Linked DNA regions of Saccharomyces cerevisiae S288C. Changing the gene in region 3 together with the main gene of any one other region gives a genetic interaction. Each region holds a gene or a part of one and is shown on either strand. Other genes may lie near its edges.

What was found.
Region 1: mutations in MKS1 (region 3) and GEF1 together harm fitness more than expected from each alone (negative genetic interaction), as found in Saccharomyces cerevisiae (2 studies listed by BioGRID).
Region 2: mutations in MKS1 (region 3) and HSU1 together harm fitness more than expected from each alone (negative genetic interaction), as found in Saccharomyces cerevisiae (2 studies listed by BioGRID).

The regions. Positions count from the first base shown.
Region 1 is NC_001142.9:506,111-511,588, reverse strand, and holds GEF1 (Gef1p), read right to left. Parts: upstream 3,844-5,478; coding exon 1,504-3,843; downstream 1-1,503. Other genes in the region: ribosome biogenesis protein URB2, read left to right, coding at 1-1,350; MLO127 (Mlo127p), read right to left, coding at 4,288-5,478. UniProt on the Saccharomyces cerevisiae protein: Anion/proton exchange transporter involved in iron and copper cation homeostasis. Involved in intracellular iron metabolism during growth on fermentable and non fermentable carbon sources.
Region 2 is NC_001144.5:22,029-26,799, reverse strand, and holds HSU1 (cystathionine gamma-synthase), read right to left. Parts: upstream 3,232-4,771; coding exon 1,504-3,231; downstream 1-1,503. Other genes in the region: JLP1 (sulfonate dioxygenase), read left to right, coding at 1-1,044. UniProt on the Saccharomyces cerevisiae protein: Plays a role in inorganic sulfur assimilation during sulfur-limited conditions; catalyzes the conversion of O-acetyl-L-homoserine (OAH) into homocysteine in the methionine biosynthesis pathway.
Region 3 is NC_001146.8:481,011-486,956, reverse strand, and holds MKS1 (Mks1p), read right to left. Parts: upstream 3,402-5,946; coding exon 1,647-3,401; downstream 1-1,646. Other genes in the region: MLF3 (Mlf3p), read left to right, coding at 1-191; snoRNA-binding rRNA-processing protein IMP4, read right to left, coding at 478-1,350; APJ1 (Apj1p), read right to left, coding at 3,980-5,566. UniProt on the Saccharomyces cerevisiae protein: Negative regulator of Ras-cAMP pathway. Involved in transcriptional regulation of galactose-inducible genes.

The DNA of each region.
Region 1 (5,478 bases), on a different chromosome or scaffold from region 3:
AAGGAGCCTGTGAGTGAGAAGTTCTTAGAATCTGGTTACGATATCGTTAAACAGTCAATGTCATTGTCCAATGGTGATAGCAAACTAATTATCGCCGGGTTTACTATCGCAAAATTTTTGAAACCAGATAACAAGCATAGAGATATACAAGGTATGGCAATTAGCTATGCTGTTAAAATTTTGGAAAACTACTCTGAAAATTTTGAATCTGAAACAATTCCCCTTTTCAGAATATCAATGTCTACATTGTACAAGATTATAACGACCGGACAAGGCGATATTTCTAAGCATAAATCGAGAATTCTGGATATATTTTCCAAAATTATGCTTCGATATCATTCTAAAAAAGTGTACCATGCGCCAGAAGAACAGGAAATGTTTTTGGTTCATTCACTCCTTACAGAAAACAAGTTGGAGTATATTTTTGCAGAGTACTTAAATATTGAGCATACAGATAAGTGCGATTCTGCCTTGGGGTTCTGCTTGGAAGAAAGTCTTAAACAAGGTCCTGATGCGTTTAACCGCCTGCTCTGGAACAGTGCTAAATCGTTTTCCACCATTAGCCAACCTTGTGCTGAAAAATTTGTGAGAGTTTTTATCATAATGTCAAAAAGGATTGCAAGAGACAATAACCTTGGTCATCACCTATTTGTGATAGCTTTACTTGAAGCCTACACCTATTGTGATATAGAAAAATTTGGCTACAAGTCATACTTGCTACTGTTCAATGCTATCAAGGAGTTCTTAGTATCGAAACCATGGCTATTCAGCCAATACTGTATTGAAATGCTGCTTCCTTTCTGTTTAAAAACTCTCGCTTTTATAGTAAACCATGAGTCAACGGATGAAATCAATGAAGGCTTTATTAACATCATCGAAGTGATAGATCATATGCTATTAGTTCACAGGTTTAAATTTTCCAATCGTCACCATTTGTTTAACTCCGTTCTTTGCCAGATACTAGAAATAATAGCAATTCATGATGGTACATTGTGTGCAAATTCAGCAGACGCCGTAGCCAGACTAATAACGAACTACTGCGAGCCTTATAATGTATCAAACGCTCAAAATGGGCAGAAAAATAACTTAAGCTCAAAGATAAGTTTGATAAAGCAGTCCATCAGAAAAAATGTACTTGTGGTTCTAACGAAATATATACAGTTGTCTATTACGACGCAGTTCAGTTTAAACATAAAAAAGAGTCTGCAGCCCGGTATTCATGCGATTTTTGATATATTATCTCAGAACGAGTTGAATCAATTGAACGCTTTCCTTGACACACCTGGGAAACAATATTTCAAAGCACTTTACCTCCAATACAAAAAGGTTGGTAAATGGCGCGAAGATTAACTTATGTGTTTTAGTGTGTTTTCAAAAGGCATTTCTCTGCTCACGTTTAATAACAGGGTGACGGAGCTTAAACAAGTAAAAATTGATAAAAGTCTGTATCATATAATTTTGAATAATCTATACTAGCGCCTTAAAAATTACATAAATGTCTAATCATATAACGTTACCATTTCGATTAGTGGTAAACCTTTTGATTATGAAATGGATAACTGACCAACATCTTCTATCAAGTGCTTCATTATATGTAAATTTCGCACCGTGAACTTCTCGATACTTAATTCTTTTGAACCTCAAAATATCTTTAGCAGTGACCAACCCCTTTAAAATTCCACTTTCCTCTACGATGATAGTCTTACAACCTAGCTCTTTAAACATACGGAATAACAATGTTACTGGCACCGCCTTCTTCACCGAGATTGGAGATTCATTCATAATATCCTTAAATCCGATGCAGTTTTCACGATGTCCCAACTCTTCGTTAGACTTATTGAAGTATACCAGTGTCGTTTGAGCTTTGGTGCTATTTACGCTTTGCATCATGATTTTACTGGCTAAGTGCCTTTTTAAAACATAGCCAATACATCTTTTTTCCTTCTCAAACTTATCCTCATCCTTAGTTATTGGAAAACCATGCACAGAATATTCAGACGCTGAGTCGTACAACAAAGATTCAAGCTCGGAAAGGTAAATGGTTTCATTAATAGTAATTAATTTGGAGGACATGAGCTGCTCTGCAGTGTATTTTTCTAAGGTTTCCTCCTCTTCCTCGTCTTGCTCGTCTTCCAAATATGGGAATCCATTAACCATGATCATTTGATCAGCAATACCGCCAGAAATACCAGACGTGCTTAAAATTATCCTTGTTATTGCCACTACAATCATAAGGGGTATGATATACATGAAGGCGCCTGTTAGCTCGAACATTATTACCACCACAGTTAAAGTCAAGTTAGTTATCCCGCTCAAGGTAGCGGCTGCTCCCAGGAAGGCGTAGGCACCAGGAGTAATAACAGAAGGGCCACTTATAAATCTCTCTACCAGTAGACTTACTGCCCGTCCAAATGTGGCCCCAACCGCCATTGAAGGAACAAAGATTCCGGCAGGAACTCTGGCGCCATATGATACCACCACCAACAAGGCCCTGATAACAGTGGCAAAGCATAGGGAAGTAAAAATTTTTAAGAACTCAAAAGCGTGCGTATTTTCATCCAACTGACATAACCTATGACTAAAAGTTGAGGTGTTATCGTTCTTGACACATTCATGAAACAATATACCCATACTTTCTGTCATGTCTAATTTCAAGAACTCATTGAAGTAAGAAATCAAAGCAGTAAGCGTCGCCAAAAAAAGCACTTCTTGAACTGGCCATGAGGACAGGTACATTTTGCGAAAGTGAATAAAGTTGATGTTCCACTTACTAATATATTTTCCATATAAACCACCAAAGATTCCTAAGGCTATAAAGATCGGAATCTCTTGTACCTTCCAGTCTCTATCATATGTTACATTGAATAAAATAACTCTGCCATTCCTAAATGGATCAATGTACTTCAAAGTAGTTATTGCGACTAGGGCGACATAATAGGATTTCCATAAGGTAGAGGAGTTAAACCTATTCGCAGAAGCAATCTCTTCCAAACCAAAAAGGACACCACCAATAGGAGCACCAAAAGCAACCGCAACACCTGCTCCACTAGCTGCTGTGATATACTCATATTGCGATGAATACGTCAAAGTATCTCTTAGTAGCCATTTTGTGAGTAAGTACCCACAACAGGTTGCATAATGAACTGAGGGCCCTTCTTTACCTACGCTTAATCCCGAAGAAATAGCCAAAGGAAGGGCAACACTTTTAATGACTAATGTTAAGAAACCCAAAAATTCCTTATTGTATTCAAAACCTGATACCCATACCTTAATCTCTGAGATTCCTGAACCAGTAGCCATAGGAGCAACATATTTGACTAACAGTGTACTAATTAGAGCAAATAAGACTGACAAAAGCATGAAAATTATAAAAGGGGACACATGTCCCTTCCAGGCAATCCAAAGCCCTTGTGCCTCGCATTCAAACTCTTGTCTTTTCAGTAGTAAATTGCTTGTAGAGGTAACCTCATTAACCACGCCGTTACAACAGAAGGATTTATTAAGTAGCCAGTTCCTCTGACAATGACCTGTTTTCCAGTTAACCAGAGTTTCCGTGAAGACTTGTAGGAAACCAGCAATACATCCAATAACTATGGCCGTAGAGCTTAATGTGATAAATGTTTTTGCACGGTCCCATATAACCTCTCGGTAATGTCGATATTTTGAATTAAGGAACTCCCTGTCCGAGTCTACAGACAGTGGTCTATTTTCCTCAGCAATCTTATCAATTGTAACAAATTGGTCAAAATTTTGCGTTTCTGGAATATTGGTGAATCGATTGGTGTCAATGACATCTTCACCATCCCCAATTGGTTGATTTATTGGCACATAAGTTGTTGGCATTAGTGTCAAATAATTTTATAGTATGCAAGATCAACATTCACCGCCCTTTCTATACGGTGTGCTTTTATGAAGACTGGAGAACAGGCGGTGCTTTTCCTTTTTTTATGGGTTCGAAATCGCGACATTTCTGTCCTTAATAAGTGAAAATCATATAAATCTATTTACTAATAATGATAGCCAATGTGAAGTGTTTCTTAAGAAACACGTAAAAGGCTCTTAAGAAATCTTTGAACTACAAAACCGATCTTATTTGAAATGTGTGATAAGTATCATTTTTCGGACAGCATTCGGTCCTACGGTCATGGCCATATTATAGCGTGTATTTAACAATGACTTTTGCTAAACGAAGAACAAACAAAAACAACACCGCTTCAAGAATTTTACTTGAAAACTATACTAAAAAAGGAAAGTAAATTTGTAAGTGTATATATCATAACGTAGACACTAAATTTCAGATATTACAGTGTGATCATCCATTTGAGGATCGAGGAAGCCCAGGAACTTTTGAACCGACCGCTTTGCGAAGACAGCTTTCTTTTCTGATAAGATATGTAATGAGATATCTGACTCTTCATGCAGGATTCCGATCACATAACAACCGTTAGACAAGGTACTTACTAAGAATAAGGGCATAAATGTAGATTCGCCTAAAAACGTGCTCATTCTGGAATCAGTAGTTCTTACAGAGTTGATGGTTGTAACTTGCTCAGCAACATGGTACACTCTTTCGTCTATTTCTTCCTCACCATCAAGTTTTAAACTAAATAACGTGAGCTTTTGATCACCGTACGAAATTAGTAGATACCTAATATTCTTGAAAGTTATAGCGGCTGCACCGGTAAACATTTTCCCGGTGTCGGTAATGCTATTGATGAGGTCCCTCTCAAATAAATTCAGAGGCTGTACCTGCAATTGAACCTTTTCTATGTTACCGTCTGTTGTATGGATGACATTGAACCTCATCACACCTTTCCGTACATCAAGTAAAATCATTTCTTCCAAATAAACCCATGTACCTATATTTTGCTGCTTCCTAGCCATCTTTGCCTTCCTTTTATCAAAAAATATAGATGATGTTATTGTAATACCAGAAATATTCAACCTATTTGAAACCTGTTCAATACTGAACTTGTTATCATGAACTGAATAGTTCAGTTGATAAGCTTGCACAAACTCCCCATAAACCAAAACACATCCATTGTAATAGTTATGTAACCCACTGATTGAGAACCCCGTGTTAATCCCAAAAACAAATTCAATAAAACCCGATTCCTCATCAAATGAAAACAATAATAGGTTATTCATATTTTTACTATCAATACCGTCTATTGAGTCTAAATTTAGAGACACCAAGATACATGAATTGAAAATCACTTCCTTATACAGCTCAGAAGTCTTTCTTTTTCCTAATGTTTCGGTTCTTTTGAGCATGGGTACGGCAATAATATCTGATATCATAGCGTTTTCATATTTTATACTCTCGATATCATTGTTGAGGTTAGAAAAATTGAATGCGGAAATGTTTTTGAACTGTTTAATATCATACACATAAATTTCGGAATACTTGTCCTGCAATGGATTTGCTACTGGCAGGGCCGCTACAATCACATATCTTGATGAAGATTCCAAAGTTAT
Region 2 (4,771 bases), on a different chromosome or scaffold from region 3:
AAATCGAAGTATCCAGATTATTTGCCTACATGGGATCCTACTGAAAAGTATGGCCCGCTGGAATTTCACGAATACCATGATCCTGCTTTGAGAGCTGACGGTAACTTTTCAAACCTTTTTGCAAAAGAAAACGTTGGTCAACTAAAGGTGAAGAAGATCACCCCGAAATTAGGTCTCGAGATCAATGGGATCCAGCTAACTGATCTTTCTGATGCTGCAAAAGATGAACTCGCTTTGCTTGTCGCCCAAAAGGGAGTAGTTGTCTTTAGAAATCAGAATTTTGCTGACGAGGGACCCGATTATGTGACTGAATACGGAAGACATTTTGGCAAGTTGCACATTCATCAAACTAGTGGCCACCCTCAAAACAATCCTGAGCTGCATATCACTTTCCGAAGACCTGATGCGGAAGAATTTGCAAGAGTTTTTGATGACTCGACATCATCTGGTGGCTGGCACACAGACGTCTCTTACGAGTTACAGCCACCTTCTTATACTTTCTTTAGTGTTGTTGAAGGTCCTGATGGTGGTGGAGATACGTTATTTGCGGATACGATCGAGGCTTTCGACAGGTTGTCGAAGCCTTTGCAAGATTTCTTGAGCACGCTTCATGTCATCCATAGCTCAAAGGAACAGGCAGAGAATTCACAGCGCCAGGGCGGCATAAAAAGAAGAGCACCTGTCACGCATATTCATCCACTGGTCAGAGTTCATCCTGTCTTGAAAAAGAAATGCTTGTATGTCAATCGTGCATTTTCTAGGAAAATAGTCGAATTGAAAAGACAAGAATCTGAATCACTTTTGAATTTCTTGTACAATCTAGTGGAGAGCAGCCATGATTTACAGTTAAGAGCCAAATGGGAACCTCATTCCGTCGTCATTTGGGATAACCGCAGAGTTCAACATTCAGCAGTGATTGATTGGGAAGAACCAATTCACAGACATGCGTTCAGGATTACTCCACAAGCGGAAAGGCCCGTGGAAGATCTAAAGTTTTTGAATGATGAAAATTATTATCCTTCTTCATTAACTTTGGATATTTGAATTTCAAAGATGCAGGTTGTATATAGCCGGAATTCGTTGCAGAGGCAGTTCCAACGTTGCTCAACTTATTCTTTTTTTTGGTTAAAATTGTGTATAAACCTTAAAATAGCGGCGACAACACTTCTTTTTTATAGTTTATAGTAAACCCCAACCTGTGTACATATAAACTAAAGAAAAACTGTGACGCTTTTATTCTGGTAAAGAAACTCTGAAGTTACAGATCAACTAATTCAGAGCGATATAATGTTGAAGTCAATAAGAAGGAACATCTTCAGTTTATAAACAACTAGTGATCTTATGAGCTCTGTCTACTTTCATTAATTAAGATCCATGTGAAGGTTCCAGAAAAGACTTCCTCCAAAAAAATTATATGCTAGAATGGAAAAAAACTTTTATAAACAATATTCTATAAAGATTATAAAGAATTCTTGATTTTTGATATTCTACTCATGATCTGCTTCATGAGTGTTTGGAGCCTCTGCTTTTCACAACATCTAAAGCACTTGAAAAAACTTTCAATAACCACTGGATATCTTCTAAACCTACGCTTACTCTAATAATGTTGGGGTCGGCCCCAAACTTGGAAACTTCTTCTAATTCTGAGTGGTGCGCCAGATGGACATATGGACATGCTAAGGTAAAGTTAGTACCATTAGAAGGTCCCTTGAATACCTTTAAAGAGTCATAGAATGCTTTTGCATCGCCCTCATTGAAAAAGGCTACAGAGAACAAGCATCCATAGCCACCACGTTCATTACGTACACTTTCGTAGTTCTCAAAGGTCTCCTTAGAAGTAACAGTTGGATAATAAATCTTTTTGCATATTTTCCCCTCCTCGGGTAAAAGCAAATCATTCAACAATATTCCTGTGTTTGCATTAGCACGTAAAGTTCTATCTTCAAAATCCCTGGAATTACGTTCTAAAACTATCGCATCTTCACACCATAACAAATCCTCGAAATTAGCGCTCCTGAAGTACTCACGAGCATATGGATACAGAGATGATTTCGGATTTAAAACGACAGAGCCGCCCATTACATTACTAGCACCATTGAAAAGCTTAGTCAGGGACGTGCTGACTATATCAGCATAGGGCAAGATGTCAACGTTAAGGCCCCCAATAGTATCATCAATTACAATAAAAAAGCCATACTGGTCGGCCAAACTCCTCAATTTTTTCAAATCCGGCATATTCAGCAGAGGATTTGAAGGTGTCTCGACGAAAACGGCAAGAATGCGTTGTTTGCTTGTTTCTAAAAACTTTTGTAATTCGACAACGTCTCTAGAATTTCCAAATCCAAAAAATTTACATTTTCCAAATTTAGTCATAATGACCTGCGTATCTTTGAAAGGGAAGCCGAAGATGCCAACAGTGTCACATAATAATGGCTTTTTCTTTTGGTCAGAGGTGGTCTTGTTTAATGAATCTCCTGAATTCTTCTTCTCCTCCCAAAAGGTGAGTAAATTACGAGCCGTAGATATTGCAGACATGCCACTTGATACAAGATAAACGTCTTCATTTGGGTTGAGGTTGAGTCCCTCCCAATTCGGGGTTTTCTTCTCCAAACCAAAGGGCCTGAAGCGATTCTCAACTATCCTTCCCTTTATCAGGTTCTTTGCTTTCTCCTCCCCCTTCTTTGCTGCAAAAACACCAGCCTCTAGCTCACGCAATACCTGCTCTGAGCCATGATTAGCGCAGTCAAGAAGTTGGTTGACAGACAACGCCAATCGACTAGATACACATTCACCTCTTAATTTCCAATACTCTTTCACAGTCTCGAACTCTTCCTCCGATGCAAGGACAGCAGCAATGGTTAGCACCAATTCCGCCGGTTCTTTCGACGTTTTTGCCCCACGGTTTTTAATCGTAACTGTTTCCACTTCAAGGTGAGCTTTACTTTCAGGTCCTGAGACAGATTTTACGTACTCGAAACACTTTAAACCCAGGTTAACGGATGGAAAAGGACGACAGTTTTCTGAACCTCGCCCAAATTTCTTAACAAAGTAAGCACAAAGCCTCTGGACGGGGGGTTGAGGAAAGTACCTCGGATATCCTGTAGCCATTTTGCCTATTACCTCTGGCACCTTTTCCGCATAGCCTATTGCCGAATCCCATGTAGGAATGCCAAAAGAAACAGCATAGTCTAGATTGCTGGGAAGGGGTTGCCCAAATTCAATTTCCGTCATAATAATTTCCACGATGATTAATAGTTGTTCAGTGGTGGTTGAGTACTAGATTTAAAATTTATGTTTTACCGCACCAGAGAAGAATCACTCAATGCTGGAATTGATGAATTGCATCTTGACAATAGGCATTAATATACTTTTTCAAACACATCATTGTAGTGTGCGGCATAACAACCGTGGCGCGTGTCAAGGACTTCTCGGAACACATGCTAAAGCTCCAGTCTCTATCCGTCTATTCTTTAATTTGCTCGTTTAAGAAAGAATAAAATGCCGTATACAGTTATTTCTTCCGTAAATAAATCTTCTTCAACATCCTTTCTTGAGAGCAGCCACACAAATCTAGAGGTGTCTGACTTAATGCAACACAAGGTCAATCTGAATTCAAAGCTGTGGCTGCATATTCATTAAACATATCTTTGAAGGATATCATTTTAGGTATTGCATTGAGTGGGCTTTTGAATCAAAGCCTAAAATGGGAGTATTATGAAAGCAGAGTAAAAATGTTCAGCACGTTGATCTTGAAAGCAGACGGAAAGTCTTATTAGATGAAATTAATGCTGAAATCTCGAAACTGTTCGCTCAGCTACCATGTGCATGTGTGTGGTGTTGGTATATTTTAGTATACTTCTTGATAAAGGTACCAAAGTACTGTATACACATGATAATAACTGGTTAGTCATCCTGGTGTTTTACTTCTTGGCATTCGGCTCGATCATGAGGATTTCGGGCCGAACCTGCTCCGAAGAAATGAAGAAATCTTTCGGCCAGGCATCATATCACAATGGGTTGCAGAATTTCTCGAAGGAATCACCTGTAGGAGTGAACCTCGAAAAAAAGAAAACACATATTTCATGCTGCATCATCCTTGCAACACAACGCTTCCTGCAGAAGTTTTCGAACAAAAGGCTTGGCAATCCTCACTTACACCCCACTCGCGAATCCACATTTTCACGTGAGCTTGCAACAGAGAATAATAGCGGAAACTTTCCCGTATTACTTAGATATCATATCTTCAGACAGCTAGATATCGAAAATGGAATTTTATTATGTCAAGTTCTGCAGGCGCTAATTATTGTTCAAGTAATGTTTTCGTGAGTCTAAAAGCTCGTACAATAGTTCTTTTTTTGGAACCCATTATGAAGCGGAGTGGATGAATAATACGGAATGAAAAGGGCGATAATGGCAAACAATTACGAGCAAAATTCGATGGATGCCGTATCACATTTGCGACAAAAAAATGATCAAAGATGGTAATAGAGTAAAATTTCACGAATGGAGGGCAGATACAAGAGCGAGATGCCAATAGATCGCAGATTAATGCAGCTGCATTTTCATCAGAAAGAGGTGCGCGTGAACTGTAGGAACAGTAGTGCAATTGGGAGTACGTTAACCACACATTTTGAAATCAAGAAGGAAAGTAGGCGCTGGAAATGACCCGAATCCTATAATCGGACAAGAAGGACATAGAAATCGGTATTTACAGTAAATATTCAAAAGACCTTCTACTACCGTGTGCAAAACAGGGAGTGGATACAAGTGG
Region 3 (5,946 bases):
CTTTATCGACATCTTCGTCATATACAGCAATAGGCAAGCCCATGCCTTTATCAACAGATCCTTCTTACGTGTCTTCTTCTAATACGTTATCCTCCGAACATGAGTTAAGAGTTGAAAAAGTCAGTGAAGTGCTTAAGAAAAAAGTTTCAAATGGTGGATTTTCAACTGAATTTAATAGTTGTGATACATAAATTTCCTTTCTGCACCTCTTCCCTTCGTTCGTTTTGTTCTTTTAAATTTATGTCTTCATATGGTTATTTTTTTTATGTAGATACTCTCACAGATACATTGATAAACAATTAAGAAAAAAAAAAAACGCAAAAATAAAAATAAATCATGTGTTATGCTATCTCTTCTTTTCTCTTATATTCCCTCTAAGACGCTTTTTTTTTTTTTTTTTTTTTAAGAATACCATATTAGACTTACATAAGGCCTCATCGGCCTTCTATTTTAACCTTTACAAATCTATAAAAAAATTCACAAATAGTCTTTTTTATTGGCAGTCCTTATGAATCTTCTCAACTGCCACTCAACATCAGCGTCCTTATTTTCTAAAGTTCCCAACCTCAGTTCAAACAACCTCATCTCAAATCTAGGACCAACTTCGGCAATCTCTACTCCCTCTCTTGTTCTCACATATACATGCTGTCTAACGCTAATGAAATCACCCCTATTCGCAAAAGTGATTACTCTTTCGGAATCTTTTTTGGGCCCCGCATTGAACAAGTGCTTTAAAATACAGACTACTCTTTTCCCTAAAGCGGTAGTAAAGTTATCAAATATTAGATGTGGATTCACTTCGCTTTGGTTACCAGCATTTATAATATCATGTCTCATAACAACATTGTGTAAACTAAACTGTGCAGTGGGTCCATGTGGAAAATGTGATATGGTCAAAGAAGTTGGAACACCTCTATGTTCATGTAATACCACCAAATCTGTAGTACCGGATTTTTTACAAGCATCCACTAGATTTGGCATCACATAATTACCTCTGTTCAGCCTGACAGCATTTGGAAATAGCAGTTTAATTTCTTTGGCAAATTGCGAGAGACGAGTGCTTGGGTCACGAGATGTTGTGACGATGATTCTTGGATCCATTATACCACTTGTGGCAGCATATTCATCATCAACCTGTAGATCATCTGCTTCTTCGCTCTCCTTTAAACTTTGGTCATATCTGAAATCCTTTTGTAAACTCTCATCTTCTGCTAGTTCCTTTGGCAATGGCTTCCCCTGAGCTAGCGCTTGTTTAATTATTTGACGTTTTTGTTGCAGTTGAGAATCTTGTAATTCTTGCGCTTTTCTGTATAGATATTCTCTCCTTTCACGGGCTTGTCTTCTTAGCATTTCGATTTAACTGTTTTATTATTTATGGGAACACTTGAATCAATGATAAAACCGAGTATATATGCCCTTTCAAGTCCAACCTCATGCAATCAATATATACGCTACTTCATGCATTTTCATCTCATCGCATTTCCGGGATAAAATTTTTTATATTTTTCAGTACACAATATCCGTTACCCGAAGTGAATAGTGTGTCATTAGAAGGAACTCTTTCACTGCGTAGATAGTAAAATATATGACATTATCTTTTTTTGAAAGAACTTTAAATACTGTATCTGATTTATTTAACTTAGTAATCATATTCGCCCTCCATTACTCGTCTTACGCCCCAGTGCTTCCGTTCTCTGATTAGAGGTGTCATCATTACCATTTCCATTACTGTTTGCAATACTCGTATTGTCAAGCCGTGATATTGTACGTACCATCTTTTCTTCCTCAGAGATCTCCATTCTGGTCTTCAAAAACCCAGTATTCCTGTTCTTGGATGGGATATCCATCGACTGCCGCCTCGAAAAACGATGTCGCGTATTACTACCAGTGGCAATCGCCATTCGTTGTTGGTGAATGTTATTTGGCAAAAACATGTGAGTAGATAAGGCGGTGGGCAGTATAGTTTGAGCAGTTAGCGGAGCATTAGATTCATATAAATGATTGGACTCATTATCAGTTTTGAAGTCCTTTTGTATATCCATCGATAACCGCTCATTGTTGGATGGTTGCGGGGGAGATAGCGATGCTAGAGCTGTCACGTTGCTTGTTTTCAAAGAAGGTTTTTGTTGTTTTATACCATTAGCGCTCGGTGGATTTTGCTGCGGTTGAGGACCGATATTACTATGAGAGGACTGAGGAGTCGGCGAAACGTGTTTAGAAGCGTATTCACTATGTGCAGTATTGTGGTTATTACTGTTGCTATTTGCCTCACTAAGGAATAGTCCACTGAGTAAACTTTTTCGTACGGGATCATGGGATGTGTTTGAGTTGATTGTGTTCGCTGATGAAACAGATGATTTCGTTGAGTCAAGATTCTGTTGATTTTTGGCAAATAAAAGCTTGTCCCATTGTCTTCTATAGTACTGATCTGCTTCTTCCTCATTATAATCATCGTACTCTTCATCATCTTCATCAGCGTAGAATTCTGAATCATTCGAAACGCTGTCCCAATCGGAATCTTCATCTTCACTGCTGAAAAATATCTTGTTTTTTCCTTTTCTAGAGGATGTTTTCGAAAGTGACAGTTGACCATTTTGGTCATTCTTGTAAGACCTTGGCCTTCCGAATAAAGATTCCTTCTGAGGAAAAGAGGATTTTCTACTTCCCATATTTTCAAGAGTAGGACTGGTACTCTTGGAAGTCTCATTATCAATGCAGTTCATGTTCATGTCTCCTATATGCTGGAAAGGTGATCTTGAGCGTCTTGATTGTAAAGGTTTCTTGGTTATAACAGTGCTTGTATCAAAACCAGTGATAATAGTTTGTGGTTCTTCCTTATTAGCAACATGGTTCACATTTTTCATTTTTTGATATTTGTCTGCAAAATTTGAAAACAACCCTGACGTAGTAGATTTGGAGAATTGTCTGTTTGGAGCAACGTCATTTTTCACATCATTGTTTGTAGAATTAGGATTATCCAAGGATCTATCGTGAGCACCCTGTGCGATAGCTGGTGATGTCATTGGCCGAGTTAAAACGTTCTGTTTTGCCGTTGTGGGAGGCAAATTGGCCTTTTGTAATGGTGGCTGCTTTACTGCTGCCTGCTTTGGCTTTATTGGCTGTTTGTTGTTTGGATTTAACACATAATATATGTTCTTCACGCCGTCTCTTTTTTTAGATCGATTAATATTATGCTCCTTTAGAACAGCTTTATTCAGAATTCTCCAACTTATATTGTGCAGCCTTTCTCCCTGCTCGACACATTTGGATGCTTTTATTAACGTAAGATATAGTTCGACATCATCAAATAAATTCAATCGCTCTGGGGTAAATAAATTAGGTGTGACTTTTAAAAACTTGTTAGTACCTATATTCGGTACATCAAATGCCTCCCGCGACATCAGTTCTTTTTTTTTATTAGGATTAGAGAATAATTAGGAAGTGTTGCTTAAGTAAATGAGATGGAACTAAGGGGTAGTTCTCTTTTTTCTTGAGGGTTGTGCTCTGTTCGTTTTCACGCAATAGTACAGTATATGTTTCTCCTTTTGTTCAGATCATTCAAATAAAAAGCAAAAAGGAAAGAAAATGAACACTTGGGTTAAAGATCCCTACTGCTGAAACCAAAACGATATTTTGATGAACTTAGAAATATGATCAGTGGTGAACTTCCCTTGCTTCTCTGTAACAACGGCATGCACATTCTAATCGGTTTTTTTTTTTGCTTTTCTGTTAAGTAACCTCCCACGATCTCTTGGCAGGCACTAAGAAAAAGATGAATAACAATGTATTACACGCTAAAAAAACTGCTAAAGGACTAGGGCTGCAATGATATTACCACCCAAACCGCGGTAAACCATCCACAGGAAGAATAGCGTATCTTTCCGCATTGCTTAAAAAAAGGAATGTCCTTATAGATAGAGTACTGATACAAAAAATAAAAATAGAAAATGTATAACATTACTGCATGACTATATAACCTTCAATATCCATTAATATCATGGTCATAAAAACCGCTTACCGGTGAAGAATATTTATTTCGTTTCGTTTCATTATTATTATTAATATTACTTTCGTCGAATCGACGGTTGTTCCTTTTCCGAGAATCTCTTTCATTAATCAAATCACCAAGGTCGTCGTCTTCAATAACTTCATTGTTTAAATTAGGGGCCTCAAAGCTACTTAACACATGCTCTTCCACACTGTCATATGACTTCTCCAAATCGCAATAGCAGTCTGAATCTGCGGTTTCCATGGTGGAACGTTCTGCTTTAATGTATTTATCATTAGCCAGAATATTTTGTATTTTCTTAGCATTTTCAGGTTCCAGTCTCTCTGGATACGTCACATCGAATTTGACATATAGATGACCGAAACCGCTCCGAACACCGTTGATAAACTTGGGCATCCCCATGTCCTCAACAGTCTTGAAACAACCAGGCTTCAGTATCTCGCCAGGTATAATATCAAGTTTGATCAACTTACCGCTAGGGTGCCCTTCAATATAAACTACGCCTCCACATAAACTGGTCATGAAGTCGATTTTGCACTTCTTACATATCAAATTGGAGTAGTTGATAACCTGGAAATTCGGATCTTTTAAACGTAAAATGGTGATAACGACGTCACCAGGTATTACCTTTTCGTGACCGCCTCCCTTAGTACTAATAACTTCGTCACCTTCGCCCGTAAGTACTATAAGTTGGTTATGACACGATCCCGGTTGAACGGTGACTTGTAGAATCTTCCTCTCCTTAATGAAGCCAAGACCTTGGCACTGTTGGCAAATATCTTTATTTTTGACAAAAACCCCGGCACCCCCGCAATCTGCACAAGTTTGAGACCAACTTTGTACTAGAGGTCCCATACGCCTAGTTTGGGTTTGAATACCTTGCCCTTTGCATGTTTTACAAGTGCATTTCTTTAGACCACCGTGCCCATCACAAACACTGCAAATCCTTGTCCTATTCAAACCCAACTTTGCAGTCTTACCCATGTAGAGTTCCTTCAATGTGCACTTTAGATTATGTTTGATATCAGGGCCTCTATCCAAATGATGGTCCTCATCGTTGGAGTTGTATTTTGCTGACGAGGAGTACAGATTGTTCACGCCACTGCCATTAACAAAGGAGAAGCTCGGCGTAGAGCTATTATTGAAGCTAAAATTAAAACTGCTTTTGGAGCCATTAGAAGAGGGGGTAGCAGAACTATTAAAAAACTGCGCGAAAAGATCACCTGGAGATAGATCCGGGAATGACATTGCTTCCGTATCGAAATTTGAGGATGAACTGAACGGCCCGGCTTGTTGGCGTTGCGCCTGCGCCTGCTGCTCTTGAATCAGGACTTCATCTGTGGTACCGTACTGGTCATACAAAGCTCTTAAACGATTGTCTTTAAGTATTTCGTATGCCTGGCATATCTCTTGAAACTTTCGCTTGGATTCTTCTGTATGATTGTTTTTATCAGGATGATATTTTAATGCAGCGTTCCTGTAAGCTTTCTTAATCTCAGATGTGGATGCAGCGGCAGTAACGTTCAAAGAGTCATATAAAGACGTGTTTTGTTGCATTCTCCGTTATCTTGTGTCCACTGGTAGCAAAAGAAAAATGTGTTTTACTTTATCGTAGGTACAGTACGGCTCGTGTTGTTTAGAGAAATAATCACTGTATCGTGAGGTTGGTTTATTACCGATATAAACTGTTTGATGAATGTTGAATACTATTATAATCTATTCCTATCAGTATATAAAAGCGTTCAAACGATTTCACATACTTGTGGGAACGAAGAACGCGTCATTACCTTTTTAGTCTACAGATTCGATGCTCCAGTCATTTTTTTCCTTTATTTTCCGTAATGTTCTAGAAGAAATCGAGCGGGGGAAAAAGATACATAGAAGGATAATGTGATTAAATAAAGTTTGATGTCTAAGGCTATGCAATGGCTATGCAA